Linked DNA regions of Nothobranchius furzeri. The main gene of each other region encodes a partner of the protein of the gene in region 4 in a complex. Links are inferred from orthologs where the notes say so. Each region holds a gene or a part of one and is shown on either strand. Other genes may lie near its edges.

The links. Proteins that work in one complex are often made in the same cells at the same time.
Region 1: the proteins of ppp2cab (region 4) and ppp2r5a are in contact, whole or in part, in a cryo-EM structure (PDB 6NTS), measured with the Homo sapiens proteins. The link is inferred for Nothobranchius furzeri from reciprocal best matches to the Homo sapiens genes PPP2CA and PPP2R5A. Residues at the interface, in NP_002706.1 of Homo sapiens: Arg121, Gln122, Gln125, Tyr130, Asp131, Leu134, Ala140, Trp143, Arg268; in NP_006234.1 of Homo sapiens: Glu146, Glu147, Glu149, Thr281, Lys283, Lys316, Phe317, Trp318, Pro319, Lys320, Thr321, Ser323, Gln324, Lys325, Ser362, Ser363, His364, Phe365, Trp407.
Region 2: ppp2cab (region 4) and strn4 share a complex: the UniProt entries of both Homo sapiens proteins name them as parts of the core of STRIPAK complex. The link is inferred for Nothobranchius furzeri from reciprocal best matches to the Homo sapiens genes PPP2CA and STRN4.
Region 3: ppp2cab (region 4) and stk26 share a complex: the UniProt entries of both Homo sapiens proteins name them as parts of the core of STRIPAK complex. The link is inferred for Nothobranchius furzeri from reciprocal best matches to the Homo sapiens genes PPP2CA and STK26.

What each region holds. Positions count from the first base shown.
Region 1 is NC_091742.1:7,920,739-7,924,254, reverse strand, and holds part of ppp2r5a (serine/threonine-protein phosphatase 2A 56 kDa regulatory subunit alpha isoform), read right to left. Parts: intron 3,380-3,516; coding exon 3,183-3,379; intron 1-3,182. UniProt on the Homo sapiens protein: The B regulatory subunit might modulate substrate selectivity and catalytic activity, and might also direct the localization of the catalytic enzyme to a particular subcellular compartment.
Region 2 is NC_091753.1:40,951,240-40,954,755, forward strand, and holds part of strn4 (striatin-4), read right to left. Parts: intron 2,828-3,516; coding exon 2,650-2,827; intron 2,568-2,649; coding exon 2,411-2,567; intron 1,943-2,410; coding exon 1,847-1,942; intron 1,634-1,846; coding exon 1,515-1,633; intron 1,436-1,514; coding exon 1,260-1,435; intron 1,188-1,259; coding exon 1,140-1,187; intron 1,060-1,139; coding exon 938-1,059; intron 245-937; coding exon 77-244; intron 1-76. UniProt on the Homo sapiens protein: Calmodulin-binding scaffolding protein which is the center of the striatin-interacting phosphatase and kinase (STRIPAK) complexes.
Region 3 is NC_091742.1:86,838,017-86,841,532, reverse strand, and holds part of stk26 (serine/threonine-protein kinase 26), read right to left. Parts: intron 640-3,516; coding exon 571-639; intron 493-570; coding exon 331-492; intron 154-330; coding exon 97-153; intron 1-96. UniProt on the Homo sapiens protein: Serine/threonine-protein kinase that acts as a mediator of cell growth. Modulates apoptosis. In association with STK24 negatively regulates Golgi reorientation in polarized cell migration upon RHO activation.
Region 4 is NC_091750.1:60,016,862-60,021,030, forward strand, and holds the start of ppp2cab (serine/threonine-protein phosphatase 2A catalytic subunit alpha isoform), read right to left. Parts: upstream 2,812-4,169; 5' UTR 2,657-2,811; coding exon 2,555-2,656; intron 1-2,554. UniProt on the Homo sapiens protein: Catalytic subunit of protein phosphatase 2A (PP2A), a serine/threonine phosphatase involved in the regulation of a wide variety of enzymes, signal transduction pathways, and cellular events.

The DNA of each region.
Region 1 (3,516 bases), on a different chromosome or scaffold from region 4:
GTTGTCGGAAAAGAAGGGGCGAACTCATACTTCAATAAAAATCTAGCTCAAGCACCCTTTAAGAACTCACGAGGTCAGTGTTGAAGATTTTCCATCATCTAACACTGGCGATGATTTTAAAATACATGAGGCTTTTAAAACAGAGTTGGTATTTTAGGACTATGACTAATTTCTGTTGCTGTTTTTAAGTGCTTAAATACAAATTCAAGCACTTTCTATACCTTTAAATTATCAAACATTTTTAAAGGATTTCAAGCACCAAGACGAACCCTGCTGATTGATCAGATGCTTTTTGAACGTTCTAAATTTGGATCAGCAGAGATTAGCACAAATAGATTGACTAGCTAACAGCTAGTCTGAGCTGGGCCAGTCCAAAATGTGATTTCTGTCATCTTAAAACAAATTTGGTCTCTAATTGTGGTGTATTCTGATGTTTTCATTGTGTTTTACATAGTGATATTTACATAGAATTATATGGATATTTATGAGTGTTAGCTGGCAAGCTAACAACTAGCTGTGAGCAGATATAAGCTGAGGTTGTTCAAAGAGCGTTCTAAAAATAAAAAGGATAAATGCCCTGCATTTGATAGAGTCCTGAGTCCTCAATCTGTCCCCCTGCTGATATTCTGCATTCTGTATTCTGCGCTTCAGGCTGTGTGTGTGTGTGTGTGTGTGTGTGTGTGTGTGTGTGTGTGTGTGTGTGTGTGTGTGTGTGTGTGTGTGTGTGTGCGCGTGTGTGTGTGCGCGTGTGTGTGAGGTCTTGTTCTGTGTGAACAGGAAGCGGTACAAGTGATAATGCTGCAGGATTTCATAATTGTATCCTTCTCAGCAGCAGCACTGCAGGTGCTCTCCATGTCCAACATGTGCGTAAGCCAGGTCCTTAGTCAACTTAAAGTTGCGCACATTTTTCCGCTAAGTTTTCTTTCATAAATCCCAAAGTTTGCGTGGAAAGTTGCTTACGCAGTTTTCCGACCCCGTTTAGTGCGCAAGCAAGCTTGATAAATGAGACCTCTGAAAGATTTTGTAATGTTTACTTTGTGCCTTGAGACGACGACTCGTCGTGATTTGACACTATATAAATCAACTGAATTGAATTATTATCCTAAACAAACACCTAGATCCCTGGTGTTTTGGCAGAAATCTGCGATGCAGCTGACATTTTAAACCTACCACTTTGCTAAATTTTACCTACTGAGAACTACAGCAACAAGTTGGACCAGATCTGAGGATAGAACACAAACCGTGAGAACCCAGCTGGCCATAATCCAGAACTTCACACTTGTTGGGTTTGCAGAATCTTAATAAAGCTGACACACATCCTGTTAAGTCTTCCTTTTTACTGTGTGTGCATGGTCTAAACATAGTATCACAGAGGAGGGACGGTATTGTTGTACCACACACACACAAATAATCCACCGCACAAGCATCAGGGGCAGTTATTTCATTCTCTCAGTCACCTTGCAGAATAAATAAGTAAAATTGGACTCAACAAGAGAAAACACTGTGGGAGGATGGCAAACATCAGAGGCGTGAGCGATATTTTCATACAAGGGAGAACGAAAACAGCTATTTGTGTTTGAAAGTGATGTAGGAGGATTCAGAACAGGCTGTTCTTAAGTGTGAGAGCTGCAGGTGAAGCTGGTGAGGAAGGCCAAGCTTCGTCTGCCTGTGGGTGACGGCAACCAACACCTAGCAACGGGCCGTACGAGAGGGGAAGGTGAGAGAATCAAGGCCACCAGCAACAAAAAAGGGAAAAAGGTGCTAATTTTAATCCTATATGCTGAATGTGCAGTTTGTCTAAACTAATCCTTCAAACGAGATTTATTCTGACGTTTGGATAAAGAGCAGCACTTGAAGCGATTGTCTCTTTGCCCTCGTCTGATGCCAAGTGTCGAGTGGTCACGAGTTCAGTTATTAACCTAGCCGTCTGACGGCGTCCAGACGCGCACGCACACGCGCGCACACACACACACACACACACACGCACACGCACACACACACACACACTCTTGCAATTCTCCTTTTTCTTTGCCATCTTATTCTTCTTTATCACTGTCGTCTTCTTCTTCATCGTTTTTGTTGACATTGTCTTTTTTTGTCCTCTTCCTGGTCATTTTTTTGTCGTAGTCTTCATCATCTTCTAACAATTCATAATGTGGATAGATGGGTCTGCCTTATAATCACTTCAGTAAACTGAAGCTGAACTTTTCTGTTATGTTTATTCATTTATTTGTGTGGGGGACTTTTATACTCAAACTGTCACAAAAGTAAAATGTTTTAAAAACAACAGTTTTGATTATTTTTCTTATTAAAACATAAAAATATATAATACAGTTCAACTCATTTGGGTTATACGTACATTAATTTAAAAGTCATAAATGGTCACAAAAACTAAAAGAAAGATGCATAATTTTTAAATTGCATCAAATCACGAGGCTCCGCGTGATTTCCTCCTCTACTTTCTTACACTTTAAAGTGAATAAAGGATCCCTAAGCAATCACTGGAAAAGTATGACATGAACTCCTGCCTACAATCCATCAGTAATCTGAAGACTCCTTGACCCAGCTGAGGATGTGCTCAGTGGTATCTAGCACCATAATCCAGTGTGGAGTCCATCACTGCAGCACTGACTGTTGTCCCCTAAAGGCTGCACCTGACTCATTATTATCAAGTGGGAGGACGCACGCACACGCACGCACACGCACACACACACCCTAAAACAGATGGTCGATGAGTTTATCAAACATGGTATTTGTGTAACATGACTTCTTATGACCAATGTGTGGATTCCAGGCATCAGATGTTAATAATCCAGCTGCTTTACAGTTTTTTGACTGTAGATCTGTGGTACGAAATGTGTTTTCTGGTCCTCGAGCACAGATGATTAAAATTAATCTGGTCTATCAAATGCAAAAAAAAAAAAAAAAAAAAAAGCCATGAATCTAATGATGAAATTGCCTAAATAAAAGACTTCAGTAATTTCTAGCATAATAATTCATGTTATGCAAATTATTTCATGAGATGAGGAAAAAAAGTGAGAATCCAATTAAAAAAACTTAAGCATCAAATAAATATTTATAGATAAATTATGAAGTTCCTGAACATTTACAGTTGCGTCAGTTGATTTCCAAAATTAAATGAGTCTACATGACTTCGGTGATGATCAAGAGCGCCGCCTCACCATTTTGACGATCTGCGGATACGCTGCCTCCACCAGAACTCCTCTGTTGGTGGAGACGTAGACCACCAGCTCGTTCAGCGTGGCCCTCTTCACCTCTTTGCTCTTTAGGTCCACCAACGAGTCCAGGAAGTCAAAGATGGTGCAGCACTGTTGGAGTTTCTGGGTGAAAAGCTCCTGCTGCTCTGCAGAGGAGGCGTCTGGAATAAAAACAACAAAATTACACTCATCCACAGCTGAATAGAGGAAACCATGCAAATGAGCAGGAACGACGCAGAGCCTAAGTGTATGGTTAGATCCATTTTGGTTTGTGTTCATGGCCAACTGAAAAAGGTTC
Region 2 (3,516 bases), on a different chromosome or scaffold from region 4:
GCTGTTCTGTTTAATAACACACCTTGTTCCATCTATGTTTTGTGTGTTTTTTAATCTCCTGAACCCAGATCGCTACCTTTCTCCTTATTGAAGACCGACACGCAGGGAGACGAGTTCTGAGGGTCCCAGATGCGAATCGTGGCATCGGCCGAGCACGAAGCGAGGCGATGGTGAACAGCCGAGTACGTCAGACCCCAAACGCTGTCCTCGTGGCCTTCTAACACACTGCTCTGGACACCTGGATCTGAAAGAAAATATAAAGCTTTTTTAATCAACCCTCAAACAATATGTCTCTAAACTCAAATCATTAGATTCCTCAGTCAAATATTTGAGCCTTTTATGGTTTTAACGACACACACACTTCCTGTAGACGTTAACGCTGAAATCCAGCAGGACGTCTGCTGTTTTCTCTCCCCGTCAACTATTAAAGCACCAAATCTGTGCAGAGAGAATGAGGTTCCGGCACTCATCTAATCAAATAAAAACAAATAAAATAAAAGGGTTATAAGTAACATTTTCTCCTGTTGGCTCCTCTAAAAAATTACAAACTTTTAAAATGATGTAGTCTTTAATAACAGTTTAATAAATATAATTATTTAGATGTGTTAGATCAGTCAGCGATGGGGCTGTAGCTGTCTAGATCCCTCTTTCAGCTGCATTCTCGTGAATGAACAGCAGGGGGTGACACTTCCAGCTGCAACAGAAGCAGAAGAAGTGACCCTAACTTTTATTCATTTTTTTCAGTGCAAAATAATGAATGTGCTTCAAATGTGGAATAACTCGATTTAATGTAACTTAAGTAGATTAAACTCTCTTTTTGACTTATAGTGCAGGAAAACACCTCAGCATTTGAAAGGCTGCAGCTTTCTTCACATAAATAAATTATTACAAACTCCAGGCTTTTTACCAACAAGGGGACACTCCGGAGAAGACTCACCGTAGTTATCGTAGGGATCTACATTGAGGTCGGGCATCTTCCAACATCTGACAGTTCCATCTAAGCCTCCGCTGAAGCAGGACTCTCCATCCTCACTCGTGGTCAGGGACAAAACAGATCCACTGCACAGAAAAAGACAGGCTTGTGAATGACGAGTAACTAGTAAAACAGGTGGCACCTGTAAATGTCTGAATTGACTCACCTGTGAGCCCTAAACGTGTAGATGGGCTCAACGTCCAAAGCTGCATTCCTGCGGGGAAACAGGAGCTTGTTACTTTTTAGTTTGTGATCAAACGACTATGTCCACTAAAAGATCTCTCACTTTTTAGAGTGCATGGCCTTGTTGAGGTTCCACAGTTTTAGCGTGCCATCCTCAGACGCGGTGAGCAGAACTGCTTGGCTGGGGTGAAAGGTCAAAGCCCGGATAGCGTCAAAGTGGCTGCGTAGTGTGAAACGAGGGTTCCATGTCTTCTTGAAATCCTCTCTGTTGTCCTGCATCTAACAGGATAAAAAACACATCGGGACATATTTAGTTACTAACGTGTTTTAGTGTTGACCAGATCTGATCTGTAATTACATCTATGGAGAGGTCGTTGTCATTGGCGACGGTGAGATCAGCCAGTTCCCCGAGGTTCATGTCCCCTCCTCCGACAGCATCCATGATGAAGACGTCAGAGGAGAATCCAAGAGCACCACCTAGAGGTTGGAGGTGGAAAGACAAATGTTTATCTTTTTATCCAGGTGTTCTTCTCCCGCACTACCGGTGAAGCAGGTGTAGGTGTACTCCCTCCACACAAGCTTTGATTCAGATCTACATTTGAGCTACAAGTGTATGTGTGGGTAGGTGGGAGGAGTACACGGGCAAAGTAGAGCGAGTCGTTTTTAAAAGTGGAATATTAGAAGTCCTACCTTCCCCGGAGCGAGCCTGTCCCGATACAGCCGGGGGCGGAGAAGGTTTAGGAGGGAAGTCCGACATTATGCCTTGTAGCTTGTTCCTGCGGTTCTCTGAAGCCGGCAAGAGGAGAAAGACAAAACATCTAGTCATGACGAGGAGGAGGAGGAGGAGGAAGGATGGACGCTAATACAAGATATCCTAAAGAGGTTTTAATCTTCATGGGAAGGAGAGACACGTCATTTATGACCCAAAGAGTGGAATGTGAGCGTGTAAGAGGCTGCATGCGTGGTGACCTGTGAAATGAGCCACGGCAGGAACACACACACAGAAAGGTGACAGCCACACAGCTCCACAGACCCACAGACAGCTCATGAAACAGGACAGAGAGACGGGTGGTTGGGAAAAGAGGTCGGTTTTATTCACATGAAAAGATGCAAAGACACAAACAACAGGAAGAAGACATCAGAGGTATAAAGGTGAGCATGGGGAGGCACAAAAACAAACAAAAGGCAGGGACACTGTTTGTTGGCAGTGTTTTTCTGGCAGGGGTTGGTGATGTTGCTACGGCAACGGCGTACCTAACTCCCGTCCATCCCCCGAGATCCGGGCCTCTCCCGCCCCCTCCCCATCCTCCCCCGAGCCAAGAAAGTCAAATTCACTGAGGGCGTCCTCCGAGTCGTCCTCGTCCTCCTCGTCCTCGTGGTCCAGATCTGTGGTCATGGGTTCTGAGCTCATCTGGACGGGCAAAGACGGCAGGATCAGCACGAGACAGCTGGAAACAATTTACTAAAATCTAGTTCATCGTTGGCGACCTGACCTTTACGCGGGACTTTTTGCTTTTGCGTGGACCATCGATGCAGTCGGTGGCTATGCCTTGGAAGTCCTCTTCCTCGTCGCTGTCGTCCTCATCGTCGTCCTCGCAGCCATGAAGGAAGGGGATCTTATCCAGCACAGAGCTTCCCACGTGTTCCTTGGAGCTTTCTTTGCCGGCATTCCTATTAAAGGTAACGGTTAGAAAACATAATTAAGGACACCGGTGTTTGCCGGACGGCAGAATGGGTTCAAGCACTGGGAGACACCATAAACCCATCACACAAGATGTCACACCCAGCAGATAAATATTTGATCAAACTAAAGGGTGAAAAGGGTTCTTCTGTGCAGCAAACCAGCCTTTAGTCTGCCTAATTATTAAGCAACTGTCTAATTTATTAGATTATGCTCTGATGCTAGCTGGACCCTTTTCTGGGTCTCTCACCATTCTGCTGCTGGATTTCAAGTACATAACTAAATGCCTTGTGAGTCGATCTCTGTGGGAAAATTTTCAGGAAGTGGAAGTGAGGATGTATTGTCCTGTTTCCTGATATTTGGATATCTTGCCTCTGATTGGCCAACTGTAATGTGACTACCACTCGCTCCACTTGATCTGCAACATTGATGGTTTATCTCCACAAATAACACAAGCCTGGAGGAGTTGTGCTGCGTGATGGAGTTGCTAATGGTAAAGGTTAGCTTCTACTCTCTTCTGGGCACTAGACCAACAACAGCATTCCCTGCCACAAGCCAAGATGGGTGAGTTCACGAACGCTAATTTTAAATGTGACTTAGATCTATCAGGCGTTACTAATCCCAATGTTTCCACGTCTATTTTCTTTCAGCATCTAATTTAGTTCCTGTACGTTAAACT
Region 3 (3,516 bases), on a different chromosome or scaffold from region 4:
AACTGCAGCTACTTAGCATAAAACTCAACCTGAAGGTTGTTTTAGTGTTAAAAACTGTCTGCAGACAGACTGAATAGATAAATCCAGCTCGCTCACCAAATCCAGCGCTGAACCACCACCCAGATACTCCATGATGATCCATAGTTTACTGCCCTGAACAAGAAAACCATTTGTGTTAATAAGTTACAGCAAATGCAGCAAAAGGAAAACGATAAGCAGATGCTGGAAACCAGCAGCAGACACTAACTACGGCTGCTCTCTGTTAACTGTTTCACACACACCTTCGTCACCGACGAGACTCGGATCAGCCTGAACTATGTCTTTTCTCACCTTCAGGTAGGAGCCAAAGTATTTGGTGATGTATGGGCTGTCACACTGACTGAGCACGGTGATCTCCTGCTGGATGTCCTCGATCTCATCTTCCGCCTCCTCCAGGTCGATCGTCTTGATGGCGACAACACTCTGAGAGCGATTATCGATGCCTTTGAACACCTGTTGGAGGTAGATAAAAAGTTAGGATCAGGAAGGAATGGAATGTCTGAGACAAAACAAAGATGAAAATGGACCCACTTCTCCAAAAGACCCTTTTCCAATTCGATCCAGTTTGGTGAACAGCTCCTCTGGATCCACGTGAGAACTCTGAGGAGAGGAAACGGAAACATGTTGTCTTAAAAGTGTTTCCTTTGATGGAAAATTATTGTGATATAACACTAAATTAGTTTTTAGAGAAATGCCTTCAGGACAGTTATTAGCATCATAAGTAGGGCTGCTCGATTATGGCAAAAATAATAATCACGATTATGGTGACTGAAATTGAGATCTCGATTATTTAGGACGATTTTTCAATTTATGTTGATTTTATTTGTTTTTATTCCGTCATAAAATTGCTCAGGGCACAATCAGGACAAAAATAAATAAGAAACAAGATGATCACTAAAAGACATCACAATATACCTATAGACACATTACTAGTGTGTGTGTGTGTGTGTGTGTGCGTGCGTGCGTGCGTGCGTGCGTGCGGGCCTGCTTCGTCTTCTCAATCCCCAGTGAGTCGTGGAGGATGGCTGCTTATACTGAGCCAGGATTCTCTGGAGGTTTCTTCCTGTTAAAAGGGAGTTTTCCTCTCCACTGTCGCTTTATGCTTGCTTAGTATGAGGATTGCTGTATAGTCACTGACACTAGTCAGTGACTTGATGCAATTTGCTGGGTTCCTTATATAGGAAACATTATTTCTGATTGGTTTAATGAACTGTGAATTGGAATGTTTATTATGTGAAGTGCCTTGAGACGACTCTTGTCGTGATTTGGCGCTATATAAATAAACTTGAATTGAATTGAATTAAAATAACCCGATTCCCAGTATAAAAAAGACCAATACACTTATAGCTCATAGTTTATGACCCAAGGGCTATAGACCTTGGTTTCAGGGGTGTGTCCAGGGAGTGGTCTGGGGTAGCACATGCCACCCTTGGAATCTGATTGGCCACCCCAGGTACCACCACACTAATTTAACTTTAAATAGGCTTTTCATTGTCCACAAAAGGCTTGGGGGTAAAACAAAAAGAAAAGCATAACCATTGGTGCCACCCATGCACAAAGTTGTGCCTCACCTGGGCCACCCCATTCTAAAAGATCTGGACACGCCACTGCTTGGTTTAACTCATTTAAGTCTAACCAGTACAGACCCAAATACCAATATCTTGCAAATACTGACAGCAAGAATTATGCAGTGGCATTTATAACAAATACATGCAAATAAAGTGATGTTCACAAAATGTTGCATAACATTTAATGAGTCGTGTCAAGGTGCTGTAGGAGAGTGCACTAGCACCGTGTCCTCAGAGAGGTTAGTTATTATTTATCAGCGTGAGGAACTTATTTATACCTTATTCATGAACTATTTATTTACAGATCCGTCAGTTAATGTAATAATTGTCCCAACCACAGCTGTGGGAGGAGCGCTTCATTTGCAACTCGGGCAGCGCAAGTGGGAGGAGCAAATAATCGGCTTGTTTTGTTTTTATAATCGTTCAAAACTCAGATGGTAATTGGGATTAAAATTCGATTAATTGAGCAGCCCAAAAATAATTATTATGTATTTTATATGTCGTTATTCTGTCTAAGTCACAAATGTTATATTTATTTATTTATTTTAAATTTGCTCTTCCTCCTCCCTCTCTGCTGTGCTTCAGCTCTGCATGTTGATCAGCGATCCTAGAGGGGCTTCCTTCTCTTTAGGGCACCAAATTTAAGTTAGGGATGTCCCGTTCCGATATCGATGTCGAAAGTAATTTGATATTGGCCCAAAAACAGTGTATCGGATTATATCGGACTGCATCAAAAATCTCTGATATAAGCAGTCCATTAAGGTTCACATTTTTTCAACCAATGGTTGCTGGTTCCCAAAGTCAGAGACTCTCTTGCTCAGCTTGCTTCTCACACCAAACCCTCTGTCAGGAATCTTGGTGTGACCTTTGACCCAGCTCTCATCCTGGATTCTCATGTCAGTTCTCTTGTTCGCTCTTCCTTCTTCCATCTCAGGAACGTTGCTAAGCTGAGTCCCATTCTGTCCCGCTCTGAACTTGAGACAGTTCTCCACACCTTCATCTCCTCACGCTTAGACTACTGTAACTCTCTTTTCACGTGTCTGAGCAGAACCTCCCTGAACCGTCTGCAGGTGGTTCAGAATGCCTGTGCTCGGCTTCTGACCAAGTCCTCCAAACACACCCACATCACCCCACTTCTCCTCCAGCTTCACTGGCTGCCGGTCAACTTCAGGGTTCATTTCAAGATCCTGGTTCTGGTCTATAGGGCCTTACATGGACAAGCACCATCTTACATTGGCGATCTTCTTAGTCCCTACACCCCCAGCAGGTCCCTGAGGTCCAGTGATCAAAGCCTACTGGTTAGGCAGCACCAGGCTAAAGACCAAAGGTGACAGATCATTTGTTGCTGTAGCCCCCAGACTCTGGAACTCTCTCTTCCTGAGCCTGAGATCAGTGGACTCAGTGGTCTCCTTTAAAAAGCAGCTGAAGACTCACTTGTTCCGGATGGCTTTTGTGACCTTCATCACCACTCTCTATTCTGCTCTTATTCCGCCTTTTCTGGGATCCACCTATTTCCCTCTTTCCTATGAATTTTCTCTCTCCTTTTCCTTACATATTTTTTAATCACAATTGAAAAATTTTCTCATTGTTAACATATTTTTAATAATATTTAGAAATATTTTGTGTACATTTGTATACATTTGGGAAGTGCCTAATGACCATCATCTTGAGATGCTCTGTATAAAAGATTGTTTTCTTTTGCCACAGCTGTCGGCATGACAGACACATCAATGAACCAATCAGAACAAGTTGTAGGCAGTGTGCTGTTTTGTTTAGCTGGGGGTGCTCAGTGAAGCTGAGGAAAATAATGAAATAATCGATGCATGAAGATGCGGACATAAACGATTATGAATCTTTGCCAAAGCAACCATACTCACTTATAGCGGATAGCTGCTAGCACTAGCTACTA
Region 4 (4,169 bases):
CACTCCCCTCGAGCTTATTTGGGTTACATTTTAAACCAAAAGCCTGATGACTCAGCAGCTTTAAAAAACACAAAGGCAATCGCCTAAAAACTAAATGAAACCAGTCATCCTTCTCAAAATTAGATTGTTAGGATGACATAACGCAATAACAATCAACACAAAAATAATAATAATAATAAATAAAACACCGCACAGGATTAAGCTCTAATCAGAGATTACATAAAGCTGGATGAAGATGTGACCTTCTTCTTCAATCTCTTCATCATCTACGAGAGATGATGATGATGATGATGATGATGTCAATCCAGGTGTAGAAAAAATACCAACAGCCATTACGTAAACACCTCGTCTAAAGTTCCAACCACACCTGCCAGAGCGGCGAGGACGAGGCACGCCCTGCCAAATTCCAGCTCTGCCCAAAACGACGTCAGTCAACAAACCGCGCAAGCACAGAGAAACCAAGTCAGCGTTTTCTGAGTAAGAGCAATCCCATTAAAACGAGCAAAGTGTTTCCACACAACAACTTGGAGCGATAACACCCGATGATGAGGAGAAACTGCAACCAGAAATGATGATGTCACACATGATGACTGTGGTTAAAGGTTAAACTGCTTTAGCCGCCCTACAGACGGCTTTTCTTACTGCTTCTGTCTTGAAACGGGTCCCGCAGAGGTACTCTAGGTAGGGCGACCATCGACACATTACATCACTGTCTGACCTTATGTGATGCCACATGATTGTTGCACTCAAATAGGGACAGAAATCTGAATTTTGCATTTTGTTACGTGAGGCAAAAATAAAGAGCTTATTTATGACAACTAATTTTATTTTAACCGAGAAAAAAGATCGCCAAGAGGGGAACAACACATTTTCTCTATGTAATTAACCAATTGATTCACTAATCTTTTAATTTTCCAGATATATTCAGGCCACCAAGAGCTGACTGAACTATAAAACTTCATTATTTAGCCACCTACTGGAAGAAACTGCAGCAGTTTTTGCTGAGAAAGCTGGAAAGGAAGAAAATGACTGAGAAGTGATTACATAGCACATCACTTTCCTTCACACACACATCCCATAACAGAGATGGCTGGCTCTCTGAGTCACAACACACTGCTGTCCTCAGTCTCACAGTCTGATCTCCGTAGCAACAAAGCTTTGATGGTGCTGCTGGTGATGCAACTCACAATCAATCACATCCTCTGCTATTTTTAAAGTGAGGAGGATGTTGTGTGGGTGTTTTGCTGGAAATTTTAGCAAAAGTGCACAGGAGAAAAGATGGAGGGGTGGATGAAGTGGGGGGGGGGGTTCAACTGACCTCATGGTTGTCATTAAACCAAACATATCCTCCATTTCTGTTGTTTTAAGGACTAAATGAAACCGATCACTTTAAGATAAAAAATAAATGAAACCAAAACACCTCATCTCTTTTGGCGGACGGAGACAAAACAAAGCAGTAATTTGAGTCACAGCTGAGGCCAGACCCATGGAGACTGAGGTCTTGGCCCACGGTGCAACGGGGACATTTTTAAAACTACAGGAAGCAAACATTACAGCTGATCTAGAAAAAAAATGTTGATATTTATGATCTGCTCGAGACTAGATGCAGGTAAAAAGATAAATAAAGCCCATCCAAACGTAGCCTTCTGTCGGTATATTCTGGAACCCTGCATGTTTTATCACATGAACAAAAAACAGATCAACATAATAACACAAAAGCATTATTAGAGAATCTGATTAAAGATCATTGCTGATATTTTCCCACTAGCCCATCAGGTCATCATTTAGATCTGGAAATCTGCAAAGGTTTTTTAGGATGGATGGCTTTAAACTGCAGGAATCAGTGTTGGACTTTTGGACTTGGATTTAGCCAATGCAGAAATCTTACATCTAATTTTTCCTTTACTTATCACAAAGAAACTGGCTTAAATAAATAAACACCAGTGAAGTGGCTGAAAGGTCAAACGTCAGTCTTGGAGCTTCTGTGAGCACAAAAACAACCACATAAAGATGCTTGAATTGATTTGTCAGACTAAAATAATAGATCCCAGAGGCCCGTGAGATCAATTTAAACCTATTTTTAGGCTCTAGTTTCTGCCCAAAAATAGTGTACCGTTTAATTTTAATGAGACAAGACTGTCTCAATGAAAGTATAAATAAAAAAACATGTAAACAGATCATGCCAACAGGATAACTTCACATCCTCTGGAAAAAAAAATAAAATTAATTATCGAGTTCATGTTTGTGCGGCACTGATAAAAATATTGTTTTTAAACATATTTTATCCATTAAGGCTGAGTTACTCCCAGGGTTCAGTAACTGACGCGGATGCTGTCTATAGGATGAGGAGGGATGTAAATATGCTGTGTGACTGGAATTAAGCTAGCAACGATCCAAACAGGCGGCTGTAATTAATGTAGCCTAGCCTAAAGTTATGAAAAAACGCACCTCACTATGAAATCTACACTATCGACGCCATTTTAAAAATGTCTGAACGACGATAGCTGTTGCAGACAATGTTAGTTTTTTTTATAACAATTTATTTCCATCTCACCTTTTCACATAGCGCCTTCACTTGTCCTTCGGATAGCTGTTTGCATTCGTTCAGCTGCTCAATCCACTGGTCCAGATCTTTCGTGAACGCCTTTTCGTCCATTGCTGTTTTTTTTTGTGTTTCCTTACCGAAGCGGCGTGTAGTTTGGTTAAAAACCCGCCTCTGCTACCCGTTTTTTGAGACCCTACTCTTTTGAGTTTACAAGCCGGGCAGAGCAGAGGCTAAAGGACCCTCAGCGAGCAGATGCATCCACTTCCAGATCGCTACGATTTGACTGAAGGGAACAACTGAAGAAGAGGGAGAAGCGCCAGCCGGCGATTCACTTGTATCAAGTCGTTTGTTGTTATACAAAGCAGTTCCGGTTAAGACTTTCTAAATAAAAGCACCACGTCGTTACTGTGAATTCAAATTTAAAATAAGCTACATAACAACCAAATGAGTTTTTAAAAAGACTGTTCTGTTTTTCAAATTGCTTCAAAATGTATCTTAAAAGCAGAGAAGATGGCAGGATATGTGTCAGTAAAGCATTTTTAGATAATTGTCAGAAAATTTAAAGTCTTTTCAATTCAAACTGAAATTTGTACACAGTCTTGCATAATAACTCTTAGTTTATCATTGTAAACATCTACTTTAGTTGTAAACAATATGTTAATCCTTAAAGTGGTTAGAAATTTGTGATTTATAAAACATGAAAAAGAGCAAAATAGAAGAATGATTTTTAAAATTAGCTTTAAAATCTCATGTTAACATTACAGTCACAACGCCTTTTCATCACCCGATGCAACAGATCTTTCCAGTGTAAACATGACAATGACATAGCTTGTATTTATTTATTTATGTCTTTTAGCAGGACAGAACAGTGAATCAGAGTTGTGGTTGTCTAATAATATTGTTTTTTATTTTAATTTTAAATTTCTTTATATATAAAGAAAAATATATGTGTATATATTTTTTTCAATTACATTTTTATAGAGCTTGTGAAGTGCCTTGTGATTTTTAGCTATAAAGGCTCTATATAAAACAACCTTTCTTCTTCTTAATTATGCAAAAGTTGCTATATACCAATTATGAATCTGTAATATACCTTTTTTAAAGATTAGCTGAGAAAAAAGATAACCCATTGTTTCTTACTTAGAGTAATTTGGGGACATACAATAGCTTTTATTTCATTTTAATGTTCCCTTTTGTATTAAACCTTTATTCTCCAAATAAAATCTTACATTTCCGGTCTAGGTTTACGTCCAACTTCACGTACAGCAGGGCGAGCCGATGATAGCAGCTCAGTGATTGGTTCACAAAGCAGCTTCCTCTGCAATTTCATTGGCTCCTCATTCATCAAAGAACAAGTTACAACTCGTTTTAGGGAATACGTCACCGCTGCTCACTCGAATTACGATATGAATTCAGTATGTTGTGTATGATGTCCTTTTATTTGGGCTGCGTAAACAATATAAAAATTAAGCTTTACACTGTGTCCACGTGCTTCAGGTAGTGACAAACACACAAAACAGTCCAACAGAAAAACGGCCACATCTGTAAACCGAGTTACATGGATTTGTGTTTACATTCTAAATGTACTTTGTTGTATCTGCTAAATGACATTTAACAAAACTAC